Kluyveromyces lactis: one gene and its partner. The protein of the gene in region 2 interacts with the protein of the main gene of each other region in a biochemical or structural test. Links are inferred from orthologs where the notes say so. Each region holds a gene or a part of one and is shown on either strand. Other genes may lie near its edges. The genes, in order: SEC27 and VPS74.

The links.
Region 1: the proteins of VPS74 (region 2) and SEC27 form a complex in vitro, tested with the Saccharomyces cerevisiae proteins (2 studies listed by BioGRID). The link is inferred for Kluyveromyces lactis from reciprocal best matches to the Saccharomyces cerevisiae genes VPS74 and SEC27.

Annotation. Positions count from the first base shown.
Region 1 is NC_006038.1:167,213-176,384, reverse strand, and holds SEC27 (coatomer subunit beta'), read right to left. Parts: upstream 5,740-9,172; coding exon 5,722-5,739; intron 5,490-5,721; coding exon 2,835-5,489; downstream 1-2,834. Other genes in the region: RPL1B (60S ribosomal protein uL1), read right to left, coding at 490-1,143; MRM2 (21S rRNA (uridine2791-2'-O) methyltransferase), read left to right, coding at 1,806-2,675; KLLA0_B01936g (uncharacterized protein), read left to right, coding at 6,168-7,382; KLLA0_B01914g (transient receptor potential ion channel family protein), read right to left, coding at 7,464-9,172. UniProt on the Saccharomyces cerevisiae protein: The coatomer is a cytosolic protein complex that binds to dilysine motifs and reversibly associates with Golgi non-clathrin-coated vesicles, which further mediate biosynthetic protein transport from the ER, via the Golgi up to the trans Golgi network.
Region 2 is NC_006041.1:215,817-223,574, forward strand, and holds VPS74 (Vps74p), read right to left. Parts: upstream 2,381-7,758; coding exon 1,406-2,380; downstream 1-1,405. Other genes in the region: CTS2 (putative chitinase), read left to right, coding at 1-1,220; ubiquitin-specific protease UBP2, read right to left, coding at 2,831-6,493; FRQ1 (frequenin), read left to right, coding at 7,431-7,758.

The DNA of each region.
Region 1 (9,172 bases), on a different chromosome or scaffold from region 2:
CGGAGATACTCCTAAAAACAAACCGCTATTTTCTGTTTGTAGAGACCCAGATTTAAGCAGCAGCAATGTATTGAAAGGATGCTCTAACTATTATTCGCTTGTGGGGCCTTGGTCTTTCTCTTTTACTGAATTTGTATCCATACAGTAGCACAGTCATATATATGTATAATAAATAGTAAATATAGCAAAATTTGGGTCCGAAATTGCAGTGTTTTCAATCACCGGATAAATAGCAAAAAGTTCACTGTAAAGAGGAAAAATGCTTAGATGAAAAAGAAAGCACCGCATCAATAGTTTGTGCGATATAATAATGGGAAATGGACCACAACGGTCCGAGGTTTTGGCTCGAGCGGATTTCTTCTGCGGGAAGTTTGGGTTGTAGTGAAGACGAGTAAACCAGTAATATCCTGTTATTTGAAAACTTTATATATGCATTTTTAATAATAGAGAATGATATAGGAAGCTAAAAAGGCAGTAGTTGTTGCTGGCTTAGTACAATCTGTAAGCTGGACCCATGGTAGACTTGATGACCAAGGAACCGACGTTTTGCCAGTTCTTCTTCAACAAGGAGACCAAGAAGTTAACAGACATCAAGATTTGGTTGACCAAAGTGTCTTCGTCCATTTCGACGTTACCGACGGCGACAGCCAAACACAAGACCTTCTTCAATTGGAACTTGATGGTGGACTTGACGTCGTTGACCTTTTGGTACAAATCATCGTTGTGGGAAACTGGGGTTGGGAACTTACCAGCCTTGGACAATTGAGGACCCAATAATCTTGGAACTTGCTTGATCAAAACTTCCGAAGCGACGAAAGCAGAGTACTTCTTAGCCAACTTCTTAATCAACTTCTTGTTCTTGTTCAACTTCTTCAAATCTTCAACGGACATAGCGTCGACACCACAGGACTTAGCTCTGTCAACATCGAAAGCATCACCAAAGATACAGATGGACAAGTTTGGTCTTGGGCAGACTGGCAACTTCAAAGTACCAGAGAAACGCTTGTCTCTTTGAGGATCGTAGTTCTTCAAACCGACTTGCAATTCAACGGTTTCCAAGAAATTTCTCTTCTTGGTTTCATTGGAGTATTTCAACAACTCCTTGACGTTGTCTCTAACGTGAGAGGAAGTAATCTTAGACATCTTTGATGTTTTATGAGTGGTGAGAGTCTTCCAAAAGTATTTGGTGGTCCGTTTAATAGGCTTGCGACTGTGCTCTTTTAAATTCTAAAACAAACAGAATACGAACAATATAAAAATATATATATCAAGAGAGAATAAGAGAACAACGTCCCGATTGATTAGCTGTTTTCATCATATGTTGTTATTCCAATGTGGTTCAATCTGAAATTTTTCAGTTTTCCTGTAGGCTTTGGCCAGGAGTGGGTACAAAAATGCTGGGACTGTTGAAAATTGGTGCGGTGACTGGGTGTTTATTATTTCAGTGCCAACAATATCCTAATTAGGAAGAATTTCAAATCTTAAATTGTGTCACTATCCTTAACCATTATGCGGTGTGTGGGTTAATGGCTATTCGCTTGCCAAGTAGCATCATAAGGTCCAGATGAGACTTGAAGTTGTCCTCTAAGCTGCATAGTTCGTAGTCCGTCCTGTTAGAGAACTCGCAAAGTGCACGTACTTCCTTATTCACCTTTATTTGTATCTCATCGGTGTTATATTTTAAGGTTTCTCCTGTGGAATATGTACTGACAATCAAAAGTTAAGGCTGTAAAATGTCAAATATGCAATACCTGGACAGTTAAAGGTAGCACGGTGCTGCATGCGAATACTGAATCATTGTAGGGATGAATTCTGTGTTACAGCCTTTGATCACACCTCAGTATAGGTGCACTCCGTTTGTGCTACGGCTAGTAAGATACAATTCTAATGCGCAGAACCGTTGGTTAGCGAGGCAAAAGAATGATCATTTCACCAAGGCTGCAAAGGAACAGCAGTTTAGGTCCAGAGCAGCATTCAAATTAATGGACATTGATGATAAATACCGGTTCTTCAAACAAAATCAGAAAGTTTTAGATCTTGGGTTTGCGCCGGGTGCCTGGTCACAAGTAGCGAGGAAAAGGATCGGTTCAGGTGGAATGATCATGGGGGTTGATTTGTTACGTTGTACTCCGCCAAAGGGAGTGTATTCGTTACAGGCTAACATCCTATCGAAAAAGACTCATGAATTGATCAGACTTTGCTTTGCTCGTCATATCCAGCTAAACAAGCATGATCAATTACATAAGGATCATGGGTATCTCCAGCACATGCTAGAGGAAGAGTTAAACCATTTGAAGGAAACAGAGGAGTATAAGGAGCTATTCTCACAGACAGATATCAGTCAGAACATCGAACGATACCCGGTCGATGTTGTGCTTAGCGATATGATGGCAAACACGACAGGCATACAAAGTAAAGATCATTATATGTCGATGGACTTATGTGATGCTGCATTAATTGTAGCAATCGACCTATTAAAACCGGGAGGTTCATTCACTTGTAAATTATATGCTGGAAGCGAAGATACCCTTCTTGAAAAGAGACTTAAAAAGGTATTCAAAAAAGTCGACAGATTCAAACCCAATGCATCGAGAAATGAATCAAAAGAACTGTATTTCGTGGCTCGCGGGAAGAAAACTGATATAGATAAATTGAAGGTGTTTTTAGAGGAATAATTGTACTTGTAAATATTTTAAACAGTTTGATAGAATCTTCAAGACTCACGGATTGTAATCGTTTAGTTCATGTTAATATACTAGCATATTAATACATTATTTACGGATTATGAATTTATCGTAGTTCATTTTTTCTTTTAGGAGTTGGGGAACGTACAGTTATTCCGCCTTTGCAGCGGGTTTATCATCGTCTTTTGAACCTTGAGGCTCTTCAGATGAATCCTTGAATGCTTCTTCATCTTCATCTTCATCCTTATTTTCCTCGGTATCCAACGCTTTTTCTTCAACTGCGACATCCTCCTCTGACTTATGGTTTACAGGAGCCGCTTCTTTTATGCTCTCGCTTGGTGTATCTAAATCAAGTAAGGTATGTGTATTCGTTGATGGAAAACCTTCTGTCTTACCGACAACTCCAACTCTTTCAGCAATTGCGGCTTTACCGTCATTGATCAAAGTTTGCTTCCATACGTCTACTACAGTGTTGATGGATTCTGCCGATTCCCCGTATGTTAAACTTAATAGGGCAGCTTCTGGCACCCTATTAGATTTTAATAGCAAGTCCTTTGCTCCAGCTATGTCACCTGCTACCCAATAAGCATTGAAAGCTAGGTTGAACTTACCAGAAGTCTCAGCATTCTTTGCCAATGAAACCAACTCTTCCCTATTGTTGAATGAAGAATATAACAAGAAAAGGGATTCTAGATCATTTGCCTTTTCATAACATTGCAAAGCTAAAGTGAAATTGAATTTCTTTAAGGCAGCATCACCCAATTGAATCCATCTGTTCTCACTTTCCTGCTCGGACAATATTTCTTGCGCCAGTGATAGTCGGCCTAATTTAATAGCTAGATCAAACTTCTGCTCAGCGTCTGGTGAAATTTCTAAGGCATCTTCAAACAAATCTTGTCCCTCCAAAAATCTAGAGATCTTTAGCAAGTTTTCTTTTCCTTGAACATTAGGTAGTACGGATGATTTGGCCTCAGCTAGTTCGCCTCTGAGTACCAATGTCTCGAATTCCAAAACATCAATAGATAGTTCATAACCATAAACATGGATATCTTTGTCAGCCAAATAAACTTTATCATCTCTTGGCAAATAACCTAATAAGTACATCTGCTTATCGAAATGTGCAAGATTATAGATTTTACCACCAACAAAGTAGTTTAATCTATTTGTTGGGGTGGTGAAAATGAAGACATCACCAACCCACTTACCTGACGTGATACCCTCTGAAACTTCGTATAATACGTCAAACGCATCTTCTACACCATCTTCATCAATACTTCCAGCTGAAACCGCCTCATCGTAAACATCCTTATTGAACAACAGAGCGTAAGCATTAGCTTCTTCAGCAGAGTCTGTTTCATGGTCTTTGTTGATGATCATAACAAGCTCTCCATTATCTGACCAGATTATATCCTTAGCATCGACATCAATTCTTTTCACTAGATTACCTGATTCCCAATCAAAGAAATATACGAAGCCGTCAGCTTTGACACCTAATACTGAACCAGGGAAGATTTTTTCGACACCGTAATCAAGCGGAATTGACCAAGAAGATACTTGTTTGAAGTTCTTGTAGTAGGTCACTGCACCCGTTTCCGTGATTAACGCATAACTATTAGAATCTGGGCCCCATGCAAAGTCATGGCATTTGCCGAAAGCTTTGTTTCTCCATGCTAAAGCAGTGTACACAATGAATTCGTCATCACCAACAACAGTGACAAATCTACCATTTGGGGAATGCTTCAAACTTTGTGGGAAAACGTCGATCGACCCTAATTCTTTGCTTTGCAAAGGAAGGGCACCGCCTTCTTCTACCTCTTCATTACCTCTAATGATGGCAGAGAAGACGTCAGTGGCTGATGCTTTACCACCGCAATAAACTAACTTACCAACTGGATCCAAAGATAATTTTGGTTGATCATCACCTAGGGATAGAACTGTGAAACCATTGTCGAAACCCGATGCAATGTAATTACGTTTACCAGATGGATGAGTAGCGATACACCAACTTCTTTCAAGCCCGATGTTCAACGTTTTCTCTAGTTTGTATGTATTTGCATTCCAAATCTTGAGAGTTCCATCCTCGGAACCTGAGATAATGATAGGTAAAGTCGGATGGAATACAGCATATGACACGTTAGCCATATGTCCCTCTAAAGTAGCAACATTAGATTTTGTCTGGTAATCCCACACCTTGATGGTACCGTCATCGGAAGTGGTAATCAAATAAGGCTTATCTTGTAACGGGTAATAGTCGACATAATTCACACCTTTAGTTTCATGTGCTTTCAAGGTGAAATTTGGAACATCTTGACCAATCGACCAAACTTTGATAGTGTGATCCAAACAACCGGAGGCAAATTGGTTGGGGTCCTTTGGGTTGAATGCAACAGACATGACGAAGTGCTCATGACCGGTAAAGGTTTGTTGGCAGCCCCAATTCTTTTCCCAGTTCCATAACTTAATAGTCAGATCATCAGAACCTGTCAGAACGAATGGCTTCGTTGGATGCACAGCAATGGAACGGATATAATCAGGATGTGCTTCGAATTCGGTCACTTTTTCACCGGTGTTATAATTATAAACTCTTAATTTAAAGTCATCGGAACCAACAACAACCCAGTTCTTTCTTGCAATGAATCTACCAGCTCTCACTGGAGCATCACATAATGGAATAGATCTCACTTGCGTTTGCGTCTCGTAGTTCCATATCTCAATTCTTCCTGAGTACAAGGTAATTAAAACCCAAGGTTCCTCAGGATGAAAGTCAATGCCCTTAACCCTGTCAGTTCTGGCACTGAGCTTTTTCTAAAGACAAATAAAGTCACCATAGATGAAAAAAATGTTAGTAAAAGCTCTTTCTTTTAGTTGCTGATAAGGGCTGAAGAAATATAATCTGTTGAATCAAAACATAAAACATAAATGTATTGATACCAGAAAAACGCCTAAGATACTTAATATGCAATTGCTAACGTTCAACAGCGATTCTCCGTGATAAAAGCACCTCACAAATTACTCTAGTACACAATGTGTCACATACATTGATGTCAAGTTTCATTGCTAATTTCCTTCCGCTCTGTTGGGTCTCTACCTTCGATGTTTTCTTCAACTAACGTGTTAAAATCATGAATGGATCTTTATTATTCAAATTCCCCTTTCAAACATTTTTTTTTCAAAGCCGTTGATGGACATGGCATAGGACCGGGTAATGTTATTATGATATTGATGTCAGTGTCAGTGTCACATAAATAAAGCATCAACTTGAACCGTTTCGGCTCGAGAGTACTACGAGCTATATGACTTATTTCCCCTAATATTACATCAATCTTCTCCATTTTGTATTCAAAGCTAAAGTTGAAGAATATTACTAATTATTATATTTGTTCGACAAAGGGCGCGATTTAGGCTATTCAGCAGAACAACTGCTATTTGTCTTGATAGTCTCATTTTATTAGAAGCTACAGCAGTTGTGTGGTTTGTTATAGAATGAGTAAAGGTCAACTATGGTTGTTGATTCTCTTTTGTTCTGCTCTATTTTTTGATTTTGCTTACGGGAAAGCACTATACCCTGTTCATACAATTGATAAAGCTTGTGCGGTAGGTTTCAACTCTGCCAACATGAATATGAAGAAAACGTTTGAGATATGGAGTGGGGCAACGATTCCAGTAGATTCTTTGCCTGGAGATACAAAGCTCTTCACTGGATTTAAAGTACACAGGGTATTTTATTTTCACCAGCTATATAAAAGATCAGGGAAAGCTTTGAAGATAACTTATTGTAACGAGGGTAAAGTTGTCTTTGAAACTGAGAAGCAACTTACTAATGATGTAAAGGATTGGAACCAACCGTGGTGTTTTTTTGAATCTAAAGAACAGGAAAATCCCAATAATAGTTTGAAGAACTTTCATTGTTTAAAAATGGCCAGAAGAAAGAAGTATGCGATCCGTCCATTTGATGTTTTTATACCCTACACTTGGGTTGGCGGTTTGTTTTATTGTGATGTGGATATGGATGCCAAACAAACGATATTTCAATCTTTACAGAGTGATGGAATAAGTACATCAAATGCAATGGAATTTTGTTCTTTATCTAATTCGATACCAATTCAGCCATTGTATGCATCGACTTATTCTGATTCCTGGTCAGAAGTTATGGCTAAGAAATTAATCCCATTCATCACTCTCCTGTCAAAGCGAAAAACAAAGACATATGTTCCATACTTACAGACCCCGAATTTGTCTATGGCTCCGACTAACTTTAGTTTGAGCTCATATTACATGAATACAAGTATGTCCCAGATACCTGACTTCAAGAGCAAACTTTCCACAAAAGAACTTCTCATCGATTGGTATTCAAGAAGGAAATCCTCAAAAGAGTTGTCCTGGTTTCAAGAGATTGAAGTTTCAGAAAGATATCATTATGATAAAGAAGATAATTTCAAACTCACGTTGGCAACAGAAAAATTGAAAGATATTATTTCGCCTTTGCTTCAGCTTTCAACCATAGAACAGGACAAACTATCTTTACCTTGGAGGACATTGAATAAAGTGGCCACAACTAAGTTATGGAAAACTTTAAGTATTACGGATAAAATAATGGCAGCAAACCTAACACGAGTACTAGAAAAATGCTCAGTTTTCCTTAACTATTGGGATAATATGCACGTCTCAGATGAATTGTTTGAATATGTGCACCCGTAGTCAAAAATCGATAATACATTTGTTTAATACGATGAAAAGTTTATATAATATACGAGTTTAGAAACGAAACGGCACTCATATTTACAACTTGTAGTAGGAGTTATTGTTATGTTGGAAAATATCTGTTGAGGATGTAGCATTCATATCCGTAGTACTATTGAAATTTATGCTATCACTTATCGAAGTTTTACGATGGGGTGAAGCTGTTGGAGTATCGAGTTGTGTGTCAGTAACAAAATCAAAATCACTACTGTTATCTATTAGTCCGTTTTCTGCCTCAGACACTGCTCTTGTGTGAGTCCCTTTAATAGTTTTAACGATTGGCGTTTCTGATTCTGAGCTAGAGTCACCGGAAAGATGCGAAGCAGTGACGGTAGCTTGTCTATTACCAGCGGTTAACCTGGACGAAGTGGATTTATTTCTCCTCAATGACATTTTACGCAATATCTTATCCTTGAATGAATGTTTCCTACTAATATTAGCTTCCTCTGCTGCCTCGAGTTTTTCATCGTTAAGATTATCTGTGCTTGATTCGGTGTTTTGTTGACCCTGGGTAACTAGCATCTCCTGCCAGTCCCCATCATGTTCTTTAGCGACAGTGCCAAGAGCCATTAGTTCATCAGCGACAGATTTATCCATAGCACCCACATTCGCGGATTGTCTTTGGAATGATGTTCTGTCATCGTTCGCTGGTTTGAATCTGACATCAGGGTTCTTCGAAAAGATGACAAAGCCCACATACACAAGAATTAGAATCAATAAAATCAAAGAGAATGCAGCGTTCATAATGAAGAAGACCCAAGCCATAATCGAGGCCACTGGCTGAGGTTGCCCAAACAAATCAGAGAAAAACAAGAATAGGAATGAGTTCACTAAGGTGACTGTTGAAATCAAAATGTTGAGGATATTTGTGGCACGATCCAAATATGGTTTGAATTTGATGATGGCTGCGAAGTAGGCCAAATCAATAATAAACAAAGCAAGAGCTTGAGTTTTACCTGAAGCTTGCGCGAATGCGATGAACGCACCTTTGACAAAGTTTTGGGCCATAATAACGCAGGACCAATAATAATAATTGGCGGAAAACATAGTATAGAAGAAACCGTATTTGTTCAAGACCCTCTGGTCACCATATAAAATAGCAGCTGGATTGTTGTGTAACTGAATAGATCGTTTAGCAAAAGAAATTGTTCTGAGTGACACATAACCGAGGATACCATAAACCATAATGATGAATAGACAACTCAATACAATGAGAGCCGGCGAATCTCTTTGAATAAATTCCCAGAAACATAAAATAGTAATTTGAATGAAACCAATGTAAATGTAACGCAGAAGAGCACCCTTCAATATGATCTTCCAATGCTTTCTGAAATCGATGAACCTCGAGTTTTTCAACCATCCGGCTCTGATACATAGTTCGACGACATATTTGGCGCAAATGATCAACCCAAATAGGAAATACCCACATAATATAAAGAATGTTAACCCAGTAGCAACGATAGAAGTAATTTCGATGTTGGCACTGTAACCTAAACGTTTAATACCTCTGAAGATTAGAACGTTGGAATTACCATACAAGACTTCTGCCGCACGCTTATAGATGCGGGTACTTTCCAGATATTCTAGGGATCTTTGAACCAAAACAGAAATTGTCTTTGAGGTTAAGTATAGAGTCGGAGTGCCACCAGTGGCTTGAACATACCATCTGAAAATTTTTTGCATGAAAGTGACACGGATCAATCCCATGGACCACATCAAGTTTTCGGACCAAGCAGCGGCGATAGGAG
Region 2 (7,758 bases):
GGTCCCCGTATAATGCAAGAAACCACAAGCCGGCTGATATTCCAACAAGCCAGTTGACGCATGTATATTATGCCTTTTTTGTGGTGGATGCTAAGTCAGGAGCTGTTAAATCTAGTGATTCGTGGTCAGACTTTGAGCTGCCTTTGAGTGTGGGTGTAAAAGGTTGCATCAAAGAGCTTCAAAAAATAAAATTAGAGTCAAAGCACGAATTCAAGACTATTTTATGCCTTGGTGGTTGGTCCAACAGAGAGGCCTATAAGAAAATTGCCAAGTCAGAGAAAAAGGTGAAGAAGTTTATTGAAACAGCGGTGGATTGTATGTTCAGGTATGGGTTTGATGGAATAGACTTGGATTGGGAGTTTCCCGAGGAGGACAGTAATGAACCGATAGTTTATTTAGAAATGATGAGAGGAATAAGAGAAGGTATGGATCAGTTAGAAAGACAAATTTTTGGTTCACCCGCTGAAGAGAAGGACCATCCACATTTCCAACTTTCTGTAGCTACCCCTGCATTTGCTGAAAAATTAAATATACTACCTATATCTGAGATGTCAAAATATGTTGATATCTGGAATATGATGTGTTATGACTTTCATGGAGAATGGTCAGATGTAACCGGATATCATAGTAACTTGTACCTTCAGGGACATTCCCACAGGAGAAGTTTGAGTAATAGAATATCAAACAGTTCTCTTTCATCAGACACCGCAGTGAAACTTATGACCGATAGACATAACATATCTTCACGTAGAATAGCACTTGGTATGGCGGCCTATGGACGTGGTTTCACCAATGTCGAAACAAATGATGATAATTATCTTGGCAAGAAATATCACGGAGTTGGGGGTGGATCTGAGGGTGAGCCAGGGATTTGGTTATATAATCAACTACCGATCGATGGTAGCAAGGAACAGTTTGACTCAAATGCAGTCTCAGCTTACTGCTTTGATCCTAAATCCAGAACATTTGTGGGGTATGACAATGTTCAATCCATGGATATCAAGGGAAAATACATCAAGAAGAAAAACTTGAACGGTGGATTTTGGTGGGAATCTTGTGGGGATTCCAAAGACCCCAGGAAGTCACTAGTTAACGCATTTAGTAAGGAAATTGGCCTGTCTGAAGGCTTTGTATCATTGTTCAAAAGCGATAAAGTAAAGCAATTTCATTTACAAAAGTACCCCAAGGATTATATTTCAAGTCTTTTCCAGAAGCTCTAACTTCAGCCTTTCATATCAGATTTCAATGAATGAATATCATTACCAAGTAATGGAATTTGTGCTCAAATCGAGTTTACATTGTGATTTAGAACTAGTCGGATATTGTCCGTAGAATTTTTGAGATACAAGTATATATATATATGTGAATGATCCACACTGTTCTTCGAATCATAATACTATGGACTTTATAACAATGTGTCCATACGTGAAAAGACCTCAAAAACTCCAGCAACAACTTCAAGTTGCAAATCTGAACCCGGATGATTATTTAATTCCTGTGAAATCTCTTTATTTAAGTTCACTGAAACACCGGTGCTTGTTTGTTTATCGAGTGGGAACGGAAATTCTGAAAATTGAGCTAGAATTTCATCCGCACGAGCAAACCCTGTATCTCTCACTTCGTAATCTAAGGTAGCCAAGACATTTTCTAGAACATTAGCACCATAAGCACCACAGATTAAAGACAAGGTTCTAATATATTTAAAGGAAACATCTTGTGGGAAATAGGTATTATAAGTCAATTCAGCATTCCTTGAAACCAGTATCGATAGTATTCTTCTTTTAATAGATTCCTTGCAAGTTGTATCAGTGATCGGGTGTGTGGCCATGTCAAACAAAAAGAAGTTCTTCATTTCAGTTCTCAAAACACCTTTGTCAACCAATCCCTTTGCTAATCTTTCCCTAACTTGTTTCAATTGATAATTGATCTTTAGGAGATTCCAAGTCTCGCCACTAAGTAGGTCAATCCATCCGACAATTGAAGTTGGTGGATCGTTCTTCATTAAAGATAAACTTTCATCAAGTAAGACCTCGCCAGTTTTACTTCCGTCTATGACTTCAATTAATCTCTCACTGACATCGTATCTCTTTCTTGCTGGATCATCAACACATCTAATCTTACCTCGTAACGCTAGTTCTATCAAGATGCACCCACGTAGGGCGTACGAGATATTATCGTTCCAGAATGATAAATATCCCTGTTTATCCTTTAGTCCCATCAACAAAACTTCCTCCATTAAGGTCAACTTAGGAACACTAGTGTTGTCCCTTAGTTTCGCCTCTTGCTCGTCATATACAATCTTATGATCATGCTCATTATCTATTTGAGGGATTGATTCCGTTGTATCACCTTTATTAACTCGGCGACGCTGTAAAGACATGATGAATTTTTACCCTATTTTTTCGGCGTGCAACTTTGCAAGTTCACTTCTTGACAAGTCACAGTCCAATTGTCGGATAACAGAATTCCAATCCTACCTTCAAGTCAAACCTAATGACTTAAAGCCAATTGTGACACGAAGAGTAAATCTTTAAAATCATTCACCATAGATATAAACTAGGTTTGATCAAAATCAGTTAGTTATTTTTCATTTTGATGTTTTTTTTTTTCAAATTAGATCAAGGTAACTAACTAATTAAGAACTCCTGCCTGCCTTGCGAAAATCAATTTACCCTCACATGTGGATATTGAATCGAAGATAGTATCCGCACAGTAAGCCTAACTGAACGCCAGATCTTATAAATTTTACCAATTCCTGCATTACATACTGATCTATCTTTTAATTAATATAATGTAAATCATATTTATGCCACTTTAAGAGCGACACGGGTTACTCCTGTTGTTGAAGAATTCGTTTCAATGGTTCGATAGTTTCTTGTTCTTGACCTTCACGGACGTAGACCAAAAAGTATGGAGTGGCCGTATTACCCTCCGTGAAGTTGAATACTTCCGATTGTGGCACCTCTGTAACTGAGTCATCATTATACTTCCTCCAGATACCATTTTTGGTGTGATCTTTAATATAGACCCAGTAATGGCCGTAACTTGCTTCACCACGATGAATGAAAACGGCGAATAAAGAATAGCCGATATGTTTGAATTCGCTGAACTGTTGGGAAATAGTTGTCTCTAGATCTGTAATTTTGTTGAATAAGCTCTTTAGTTCCTCGTCTATGTTATTGATTAAAATATCAATGTAGGCGATCGATGAGGGGATATTGTCCGCATCAATATCGTGCGCTTTCAAGGTACCGGACTGTAAGAACTTTTTGGTCTCAATGAGCGAGGATTTTAAAGTTAATCCTATTTCGTTCTGTGAGAGTAGTTTCCTCTGTCTTTGCTTTAAGTCTTGAAGTTTCTGTTTCAATTCTGCGTTTTGTTGAATTTCTGCTAATAGTTTTGGATCCTCGGTAGCCATATATCTATCCATGTACAACGTTTCGCCGAAAGGTAGCGGCTCGATAGACTTGAAAGGCATGAATTTTTCTCTATCATAATAGACTCTCTGGATTTGAATTTGTAGAACCGCAGGTAACTCTGAGATAGATACAGTTCTCTTTACATCACCATACTCCTCCAAATTCAAATAGTCATTCTGAAAGTAAAAATCTAAAGCATCATAAATATCCTTTGGATGGTCACCGGTGTTAACCAATAAGGATAAAAACCTTTCATATTTTGTCCGGACAGAAGCCTCATCATTGACTGGTATCAAGTCCTGTTTAATTCTACCGTAAAACAACTGTTTGACAAGATCATTCTGTTCCAAGTCGTCTTCCAAGCTCAAAGGTTCTGAAGCAATCTCAAGCTGAGCCAAGACGTTACCTATACATTCTGTAACATCTTGTTGTCTTCCGATCTCCAATGTATTTTCAAGTTGGTCCGCACTGATTTTAGCAACTTGGACGGAATATTGCTGTGTTCCTGCTTCTGACGATGTTTTATGTTCGGGGAGCGCAACCGGGCTCTGGCACATTATGATATCATCATCACAAGACGCTAGGTGACGAGTAGTATCAGTGGGGTCTTCGACGACGTCAGTTGTTAAGTCGATGAGTTCTTTCTGGGCAACAGTATCGTCACCGAACTCCACCTCGACATTACTCGGAGCAAAGGCTAAGTAGACCAACTCTTTTGTGGGCGTGACGCATCTACTGTTTGTGTGGATCATGTCATTGAACAAATCACGAAGATGGTAGACAAACTGGACCGATCTAAGCTCTTCTTGTTTGCTGACCTCCCTGCCTCCAATTCTTCTTCTAGAGTGATATTCAGACGCATCCAGTAATTTAGCAGAGTCATCATCATAATTCAAAATAAAATCACGTAGAGGTTTGATAGTGAAAAAGAATTGAAGTAGTGAGTTTAGGTAGCATGTATTTCCCACATTATTGATTCCAGCTGGCCATGTAGCAACAGGAAGACAACTTACGTCCACAATACCGGTGTCTAAAAAGTGGTTGATAAGTTTACTATTTCTAGTAAAACCAATATTCTGAAGGGCCATTTTCAACTTCAATAGATAATCAGGACCTGTCATAATTCCGTGACTCCATTTCTTTTGAAAAACTTCAAGGATGACATCGTCGCTTGCATTCATGTCAATTTCAATGATGTTCAATGCTTCATCGTATGATATGTCAGTGCAGTTGTAATATTGCGCAAATTCTGGACATTCATCTGTCAAGACATTCAAAAGAAATATTGAGCGCCTATCTAGTGCTATTGTAAAAATCGCCCGATCATAATCTTTTTTCAAACCAGGGGCATCAGCAATATTGATCGTATATGCAGTTTGGATAATATCATCATCTACTGTCTCGTCTACCTTTAAAAGAGTGTAAGCTTGTTGTACATTATAATATGGTTCATACTCCACCAAAAACAACATCTTTTGACTACCTAAATATTTTCCTAGCACACGTAGGGCATTTCTTAGATCTTTTCTTTGATTATCAGAGCTCCTTAATAGATGAGAATTGTAATATTCAATCATCGTATTGGCATCAAGGAGGCTTGCGTCAATGTCAGTTGGATCTAAACCAAATACCTGTAATGCATTATTCAAATCTTCATACCCAACAACATCTTGTTTTCCACAGTAAGCAATAAGCTGGTAACTACCCTTTGCGTTTGTTACATATTGGAGAGCATCAAAATAATGGCTGATGTTTTCCTGATCAAGTGCAATTTGAGTTTCATAGTTTTTAATGATATCCTTATCGATGTACTTAAAAGCAACAGATAGGTTAATAAAATGGTAATTTATGTCGTAGGGGAATGGTTCAATGTGTTGGTGGTTCAAAATATTGAACCACCATGTGTGACTGGCACTAAAATGTTGATTAGAAAAGCACTTTGCCACTGTCTTCTTTTCAGTACCAAGTTCATTTTCAAGTAGCATCGACTGCTTACCAATTAAAACAACCTCCATGGATTTTCTGGTATACGCCTCTCTAATCCCTCTGACCTTAAAATCTGTGATATAATCAACTAAATCTGGTGGCTTATATTCCTCTCCAGATTGGACATTATCTTCTACAGCGGTCTTCTGCAAACTGAAATCAAACATTGTCGTTAACCAGTCAGTATTAATTTGTGAGTTGAGTGCAACACTATCCCTGGAAATAATCTTAAACTCACTATTAGCAGATTTCCTCTGTAATGGGTTCTTAAATATCATGAAAAGAGTTTTCAAACACTCGGCTTGGCTAGGAATATCGTCCGGGTTCAATAAATCAAATTCTTGACATGCATTTTTATATCTTTCCTCAATTTTTGCTGTTCGATATTCAGCTAGGTTCTCTGAATTAAATTCTGGTTTTATTATCTCAACAAGTATAAGTTTATTAGTATCAGCAGAAACAAATATACTTTGGTCTACTAATCTACAGTCTTTCTCTTCCATTATAAAGATATCCCTTTTGTCGAATGGATGTAAAGATTCAGGCTCTAAAACATGATAATGAGTTATCCCAACGTGTCTATTGAAATTTTCCAAGTATGATCTCCTTTTCACAGTAATCTTCAAATGAAAGAAGTATTCAGGAAACTTGTCAATGTCATCAAAGTCATTAGGAGTAAAATTCGGATCTACCAGCAATGCGAACATAACACTGATGGTATTCTTCCCTGGACAAGTCATTGAATCATAATCATATCTGCTTCTCAAATTAACCTGGTCAATTAAATGCACTAGGTTCCACGGTTGCAATTGCTGTCTTTCCCTCGAGTACTGAAGCATTGGTTGTTTCATCACAGATGAACCAAACTTCTTCAAGAACCATGGTGAAATCCTAATGTCATCTAAAATTCGATCGCATGTTTTGAACGGAAAACTTTTCGAAATATCTCCGTACAAAAGCGTCTTACCATCGTCTACTAAATCTGAAAATGATTCCAACGACTTAGATCTCAGTACTTCTGCTGTTTCCGAAACAGAATCTCTCTGTTCGCCATTCAATTCTAAAGCTGGTTCTTGTGAAGCCATCATCAATTCGAGATTCTATTCTCTGCCAAGCTATCCTCAAATTGTCACAATATACTGTAGCGTGTCAAATGTATCAGAATTGAATCACTGGGAGTATTAGAACGAGCCTAGAAGTGGCAAATAGATATTTTTAATTATGCATTTGCCAAAGGATTGAAGATCTAGTTTTCCTTAAAATTTAATGCAATTACTATTCTGATTCTACTTAATTCTTTTGTTACCCTTTAAAATTTGTCAATAGTGGAAATCTGTAGACAGAACCACAATGAGTGTGTGGTGTACGGATTTATACTCACAGTTTTAAATTTAAACGCATTTATGGCGGTACAAAGGGCATTAAAATGAGTCAAAAAGGGCCTCTATTCAAATTACCTATGCCCTGTTTGATGTAACAGCATTGCTATTATTCCGAAAAGACTGAAACAGCTTTACAACTTGTTTTTCTGAGTACTACGTAAACTATAATTTATAACTCAATGTAACCTATTCAACCTTTGAATGTTGAAATAGGTTCATAAAATCCAGAACTTTAAAACGCAGTCGTTGAGTTAAAAAGAGGAAAAATAGTTCGATCAGTGGCACCGCTTCATAGTGAGCATCTGAAGAATTTTAGTAGTCGTTACTTGAACACCAACAAGCAAAGTAGAAGAGGAACGGTCATCTCTGTCACTGTTTCTATCGTTACTTTTAGAGAATCATCTATGACGGACTTCACAAGCCACTTTCCTACAACGAAATCTGTAAACTGCAGAAGAGAGAAAAACATAATTAAAAAAAAACCAATATAAAAGATGTTGCATGAGGAGTTGAAAAATTTAGGGAGGAAGAGCTTCAGGGTCTAGTCAATATCTTTTCCGAAACTGATCATAGGTAGCTTATAGTGGCGTTTGATCACAGTAAGTGTTAAGATATATACTATCCATGGAATAACAATAATAAGATGGGAAATAAAACGTCTACACTTTCAAAGAATGATTTGACCAGTTTGAAGCAATCTACGTATTTCGATCGCAGAGAGATCCAACAGTGGCACAAAGGGTTTCTACGGGATTGCCCGAACGGCCAGCTAACTAGAGAAGAGTTCATCAAGATATACAAACAATTTTTCCCCTTTGGCTCGCCAGATGAGTTTGCTACGTATGTGTTTAGCGTGTTTGACAAGGATAATAATGGATCCATTGACTTCAAAGAATTTATCACAGCATTAAGCACCACTTCCAGGGGCTCCTTAGAGGAAAAGTTAGTCTGGGCTTTCCAACTCTATGATT